Arabidopsis thaliana: one gene and its partner. The protein of the gene in region 2 purifies or fractionates together with the protein of the main gene of each other region. This does not show direct contact. Each region holds a gene or a part of one and is shown on either strand. Other genes may lie near its edges. The genes, in order: ROC1 and RPS2.

Region 1 (3,618 bases), on a different chromosome or scaffold from region 2:
TTTCATTTTTGGCTTTCACACGTATTGGCTTCCCTCACAATTATTTTATTCTGAAATCGTAATTAAAGGCATATGCGTCCCTGCTGGCTGCATATAAATATGAGATTCAGTCTTCTCTGAAACATTTATTTGATTTGGTAATTGGTATGTCATCAATCATTCATCACAGTCTCCAGAAAAATCGTGTGGATTTTAAAACTGGTTTGGGGCCTGATTTGATGGGCCGGCCTTCAGGTGGAAAATTTTCGTTTTCATATAATAGTGAGTACGAAGGCAATTATATTTGAAGGCCCACTAAAGTTGATCTTATCGACAAACCCGTGATTTAAACAAAAAAATAGGCCCACTGGTATTGTTTATTATTATTGCCATTAATTGGGTTTTCTAATTTGCTTCTCTGCAGAATCACGTGTGTTACTTTTTTAGACCAAGACCTTGTGGTGGTGTAGCCCCTCTGCGTCAACGTGGATCATAACGTCGTCCACCATTAATTAGATAGGTGAACAAAAACTCGACCAAGTATTTTTATCTGTTCCAACGGAAATGCAGATAACAAAGATGAAATTTGGTAACGTAAATTAGATATGATAAAAGAGTGCTCATTCCTTATTTCTGGTAGTTAATATTAAAGGGGCAAGTTTATATATGTTCCCATGAGAACACACACCAAACTTATGACTACAAATTTTAAAAAGACTCCATAACAAAAGCAAAAGCATAAAGAGACACCACAATGACGACGATGATGCTAAATTAAGGATGATGATAGGAAGATCCTAAGAGAGCTGACCACAATCGGCAACAACCACAGGCTTCGTCGGCTTTCCAGATGATGATCCAACCTTCTCGATGGCCTTTACCACGTCTAAGCCTTCCACGACCTGCCCAAACACCACGTGCTTCCCATCAAGCCAATCGGTCTTCACGGTGCAGATGAAGAACTGAGATCCGTTCGTGTTTGCACCGGCGTTCGCCATCGACAGGATCCCCGGTCCGGTGTGCTTCCTCTCGAAATTCTCGTCCTCGAACTTGCTCCCGTAGATCGACTCACCGCCTGTTCCGTTCCCGGCGGTGAAATCTCCTCCCTGGCACATGAAGTTAGGGATCACACGGTGAAACTTAGATCCCTTGAAGTGAAGGGGTTTTCCGGTACCGCCAACACCTTTCTCTCCGGTGCAGAGAGCTCTGAAATTCTCGGCAGTCCTGGGAGTCTTATCGGTGTACAGCTCCATCACGATCCTTCCCGCGGGCTGGCCGTCGATGGTCATGTCGAAGTATACCTTAGGGAACGCCATTCTTGTTGTTTGAAACGTGAGATCTCTATCAGACTGAAGAAGAGGTTTGTTGTGGATGATGAATAGAGGATTTATCGGTGAGGTTATCGATTTATAGCCGGCCAAGGGGAAGCGGCGAATATCTCACAGATAAACAAGATTATTACATGTGGGAAAATCTCAACGGCTTTAAGATCTTAACCGTGGTTAGGTTAAGAGTTTGACCACCGGTTAAGTAGGGGTCAGTCAGTCAGTGCGTTGGAGTATCTCAGACTTGGCATATGCCCCTCCTGGAGCAACGTGCCACACGTGTCCCACAATTTCTAAACAACTTGCTAAAAACAACGTCTTTTAATCTTAAAAATTAATTTTATTTACTGTCAGTTCAAATTCAAAAAAATTGAACCGTTAAACTTTAGTAGTAACGCATACTATATGCATGACTTTCAATTAACACTATCAATGCTTTGCGCAATAGTCCACCCCTCATAAATGTTAGCTGTAATGAGTGGTTTTCTTTTTAGGGTTAAATTTTTCCTCATAGTAAGTAAACGTGTTCAAGAGTAGAGGGAATTCAAAAATCAGAATAATCTAGAATAAGTGATTATCAAAAGTTAGTTGAGTGAGAATTATTCGGAACTGCACTTTCTGCGGCCTAGAGTCAGAGAGAGAACCAATCAAAAGAATTTGTTGAGAGGTAAGCAATTTAAAAAAATGAAAGCAACGAGCGGCCCAAAAGGAGTGGACAGCATGAGCCGAACATTTTTTTAAAGCTATGATATGAAATAAAGAGAATAATACTATTATATGACTAACATATACCAATGGTACAATAGCCGGTTTAATCACTCATCAAGGAAGGAATCTAATACATACGTACCACATTCAAGCATGGTCCTCATGTTTGTTTTGTTTCTAAAGTGATCCAGGATACAGAAACGCAGCTATTTTCTTCAGTGAATCTATGGACGGTTCTAAGTAGGTATGCACCTCAGCAGCTGATCGAGACAAAACAAAAGAAGCAGCAATGTTACGAAACCGTTTTCACTTTTTCCTTGCAACTAAATCGTATTTTAAAAAAGGCACCAAATCCCAAAATAGTCTTGTCAATATTACTATGGAAGAAACACTTGTTACCTTTCACTAGTTTTTTCAAGTCTTTGGAGAAGTTATCCACACGCCCAAATACAGGATGGATCCTGCAAACCTGAACTACACAGAGTTCCAAGTATAACGACATCTCTGTCGTTTGGATCAGCATAAGGCACAACTTCTTTACTTCATCTGGAATCTCTTTGGATTTGTAATTATCACATAGCTCAGCGACTATCGCCGTCGCTTGGTCCTGCATTTTAATATACACATTGTAGTACCAAGCAAAGAGAGGATGATTAAAAAAAAAAAAAAAAAAAAAAAAAAAAATAGAAACCAGTAACCGTTCTTGGTCTCGAATTAACGTACCTGTAGACCATGTAAAATCTCCGGCTCTGGAAGCTCAGGGAAATGAGCAATATCGACATATCCCACTTCCTCTGCCCTCGTAACAACACCCTCTGCTTGTAAGCACAGAAATTTCAACAATAGAGAAGCCACTCTATATATCTGTATCGCAACTGAGTCTGAAAATTGCGATTGAGGAACAGACCCAGGATGTTCTGTTGTGTCTCCCCTAACAACTAGAGCAGTCGAGATAGATACTGCAGTGATCTTGGGTTTCCCAACACAAACTAAAGGTGCTAGCGAAAACCATCCGTGTTTGGTATTGATGAAAGACGGTCTTTTGCAGGAATCAAACTCTTCTTTCGCTACTGGAGGGCATAACAGATGAGATATGTGGCTCTGAGACTCTCTAAGCCGTTGAGCGCCTTTGCTGATAAAGGCCAAGAGATGTATTGTCATTTCTCTTAATGGAGAATCCATATCCTTCATAATTTTAACCCATGATCTCCAATGGCTAGCTAATGCACACAGCAGAAGGAGAGTATGCTCGGTTACTCTCAGATAAGCAAGGGAAGTCCACGTCCGTTGACTTCGTAGCCTCACTTTGTCACGATCATCAGAAGGGAAATCTGGTGCAGCGAGATAGTATGAGATCATGTAACCTTTCTCCAAGAAAAAGTAAGATATGACACTCTCCACAATATCAGCCCCTGCAGAAACAGATCCTAGAGAATGAACCATGGCAGTAACCACAGCCAAACCGATTCCCCAGATATGCTGAGTTTTTTCTGTCTTTTCTAGCAGCGAGCCCTTTTCATTGTCAGATACCAAAGTAGACATTCCATCCGGAAACTCCATTAACAAAGCTCTTAAAGTCGAGAAAAATCCAGAATTTAGAAGCATC
Region 2 (3,847 bases):
AAGCAAACAGAGAGTCCATGAGAACACTTACTTGATGCTCCATTCGAGATCCATCAAATGGGATTTCTATTCTTCGCTTAATATTTCTCAGCCTTTCTTCCTAATAAGAGGCAAGAAAATACAGAATGGAGATCAAATTGACAGTGACAGTCAAATTGACCATGGATAACTGGAAACAAAACAAACCGGTAAAATTTTAAAAAGCAACAAAAACAAGCAATTGAGACCATAAGAGAAAGTCATCATTTTACTAAGTAAGCTTCCTAATAAACCACATACACAAGTAAGAGACTTAGAGGCACCAAGCAGAAACACACTCTGATAAATTTTCTAATTCTATACATCTCTTTGTTTTCCAGAGTTACCATTATTCTTCCAAACACAAGCCAATAAAAAGTATTTGTAGTCTACAAATGAGACAGTGCAAATACAGTTACACAAGTATTCTTACAGTTACAAAAGTATTCTTACACAAACTACTAAAGCTATCTCAACAATGCTAAGACCAAGAACCTAATGTGAAAATGTAAACTTAAAAAAGAATATGGTATAGGCTGATGAATTATAGTCCTCTTAAACGTATCTTTTGGTATCTAATGTTCAAAAGATAAGGTAGACCGTTTAGATTACCTGCAACATACTAAGAGGTGGTGGCAGAAGCCTCCCACCAGTACCTATTTGACCAAATGTAGGCAGAGAAAGAAACCTCCCAACAAGTGAGCCAGATCCAAAGACTATTTTGGCTGCAAACCAAGAAACAAGTTGTAATGAGATAATCCCCCTTTTAAAAAATCAAGGAGTGATAGTAACAAGACAATAAAAGCCCAACCTATCCACTGAGCCCACTGTGCAATCAACTGAGAAAAGATTAACGTCCAGTGAACTTGCTGTCTCTTCCGTTCTTCTTCCCAAATATCCTCCAGAGTACGCTCCTAAGAGTAACACCACAGGTAATAATACATAAAAGGGTTCTTCTCATCTCTAATTAAAAACACACACACTGAACTACTAACCTCAATGTACTCATTTCTACTATTATCAGTACTACTACTTCCTAACAAGGGTTCACTTAAAGTTTCAGAGTCTGTTGCATCATAGCGTTCATACTTCCTCCCATCTACATCACCGTGATGAAGCCGCCTTCTCAGAGTCGCAGATGCCATCTTGTATATCAACAGATACAAGCGAATAAGCCCCTGCATTATACCAGAAATAAGATCAAACAAACAAAAACATGAAAATTGGAGACAGTGTCTTGATAATGGAGCTATGCGATTATAATTTAAAGCTTTTCATTTGTCCAGTCTTCCAATTTTTGCACACTAGACACTAATTCTTCAACACTAGATCATAGAACAGACCCATGCAAACAGAAATCAATAAGAGAAAACGAACCCTAGAACTAGAAGCTTCAACGGGAATCAGAACAAGATAGAATTTTTCAACCTAGCAAATTACAAAGCGATGCATCTGCGCTAAGTCACCAACCATTGAATCGTTTTAAAAAAATTCAGAAGATCAAACAGAGCTCCACCACAAACCCTAATTGGGCGATAACGAAAAGACTCAACACAAAACAGGATCGCTTAAAATCCCCAAATCTCAGATTCGACTTTTTGTAATCCCTAATCAGAAAACTTGACAAGAAAAACATCACCAAATCCAAAAACTTTGGAATCTAAGATACATTATAAGGAAAGTTACGAATTGGGTTTGATCGATTCTCTTACAGGGAACGTGATCTGAGTGAAAAGATGAGAGCTTCCTTCGAGAGAAAGGTAAGAATAAGCTCACGAAATCTGAAATCCAAAGGAAACTGTCGCCGCCAAATTTCCCAGAAATTTTATTTATTTCGATTAATCTCTCTTATACGTTACTATTTATTTTATTTCTCTTTTGTTGGTCAACGACCCGGTTTGTCATCCGGTTTACGATGTTTGGTTTAGGCATCTGAAATCTACCGAAATGGGCCGGTAATTAGCTCATACCCAACACGACCAGACCAGACCGACCCGACCCGACGGCTCCAGATTCATCCATGTTTCATCTTCCTCATCAGATCTAATTCAATCTGCGAATTTCTCTTAAACCCTAACCCTCTCGCTGCCGTCCGGTGGTTTTTCCGACGACGAACTATGACGATTCACGCTGCAGTAATCCAGAAGCTTCTGAACACCGGAGCACATCTCGGCCGTCGTGCCGCCGAGCACCATTTCAAGCAATACGCTTACGGGACGCGTAACGGAATGACAATTATCGACTCCGACAAAACCCTAATTTGCCTCCGTAGCGCCGCTCATTTCGTCGCTAACCTCGCCCACATGAGAGGTAACATCTTCTTCGTCAACACGAATCCTCTCTTCGACGAAATCATTGAGCTCACTTCTCGTCGGATCCAAGGAGATTCGTATAATCACAACCGTGCGATGAATCTGTGGAAGATGGGAGGGTTTTTGACTAACAGCTACAGTCCTAAGAAGTTTCGATCTAGGCATAAAAAGCTTTGCTTTGGTCCAACTACTATGCCTGATTGTGTCGTTGTGTTTGATTCTGAGAGGAAGAGCTCTGTGATACTTGAGGCATCGAAGCTTCAGATTCCGGTTGTTGCAATTGTGGACCCGAATGTGCCATTGGAGTTCTTTGAGAAGATTACGTATCCTGTGCCAGCTCGTGATTCGGTCAAGTTTGTGTATTTGTTCTGTAATGTGATCACCAAGTGCTTTGTGGCAGAACAGATGAAGTTGGGGATCAAAGAAGGGAGCAATGAAGATTTGATGAAGGATTTAGCTGCTTGATTTTGATATTTGCAACAAAAGTATGAAACTTTACAGTTGTTTTTCTGAGTCTGGAATAATTGTTCTTCAGAATTGTGGTTACTTCAACTTTGAAATTCTGGGAGTTTTTTACACATGGATGATTTTGTTTCTCTGATGGATATTTCTGTATAAGATTGTTGAGTTCTAGTGTTCTACATCTTGATAACTGCCTTGTCTTTTCCTTGCACAACTCATTTTTTGGAAATGCTTTAGACATTGTATATGGTAATCGTTACTTCACAAGTTTTGGAATGAGCTATTTACAAGTAACTGTCTGGGATAACTTTGAATGTCTCTTAAGACAATTCTATGGTCTTTACTTGAATTTTAGTCGAGTTTCTGTCATGTTCCTGATTTTTTGGGGCATCTCTGGTCATACCTCTTGAAGTTGTACTTATCCTCGGTAGAGTTTGTTGCTAATCTTAGTGGTTTGATCGGCTTGGTTTCCACTGCACGTGCTACAGAGATTGTTAGTAAGAAGTAAGATCAAGCCATGTTAGTCTCCATCTATCATCCTCCGGGACTAAGAAAATTTGCATGTAAAGCTCTTGGAACTAACTTAGACTTTTCAAGATGGTCAAGTTTGATTCTCTCTTCTGGTCTTCTCACTTGTGGAATAGTTGCGATGTCGTTGTGCTTCAGAGATTTTCTCGATGGAACAAACCGACGTTGTTTAAGCTCTCTTAACTCAGTTACCATCCTCTCCAAGAATTATCATTGTTAGCTTTTGGTTTTCTCCTTATTATTGTCACTATAGCTTGTCAACAATACCTTATTAGTTATTACCTTACCTCGACAGAATCAAAGCATCTTCCTCAGTCATATCATAACCCTTTCTTTATCTCTGAGCAATTTTATCATTACAAATATCTTCGTAATGTATTAATCAATAGAAAGAGAAGCAGCCATGAATTTTGTCGAAGCTATTACAAAGGATATGAAAATGATTCCATGGCTGGACTGTTGAGAAAGTTGGAAACTTTCGCATCTTAATCCTTGAAAGTTGAAAGCTTTAGTGTCAAAAGACAAGT

The links.
Region 1: the proteins of RPS2 (region 2) and ROC1 purify together in Arabidopsis thaliana (affinity purification with western blotting, with the first as the bait; one study listed by BioGRID). This does not show direct contact.

Annotation. Positions count from the first base shown.
Region 1 is NC_003075.7:18,082,844-18,086,461, forward strand, and holds ROC1 (rotamase CYP 1), read right to left. Parts: upstream 1,409-3,618; 5' UTR 1,296-1,408; coding exon 777-1,295; 3' UTR 552-776; downstream 1-551. Other genes in the region: AT4G38760 (nucleoporin (DUF3414)), read right to left, coding at 2,190-2,272, 2,412-2,619, 2,736-3,618. UniProt on the Arabidopsis thaliana protein: PPIases accelerate the folding of proteins. It catalyzes the cis-trans isomerization of proline imidic peptide bonds in oligopeptides. Involved in de-etiolation.
Region 2 is NC_003074.8:866,795-870,641, reverse strand, and holds RPS2 (ribosomal protein S2), read left to right. Parts: upstream 1-1,935; 5' UTR 1,936-2,135; coding exon 2,136-2,795; 3' UTR 2,796-3,094; downstream 3,095-3,847. Other genes in the region: AT3G03610 (ELMO/CED-12 family protein), read right to left, coding at 32-100, 631-743, 830-932, 1,014-1,196, 1,489-1,491.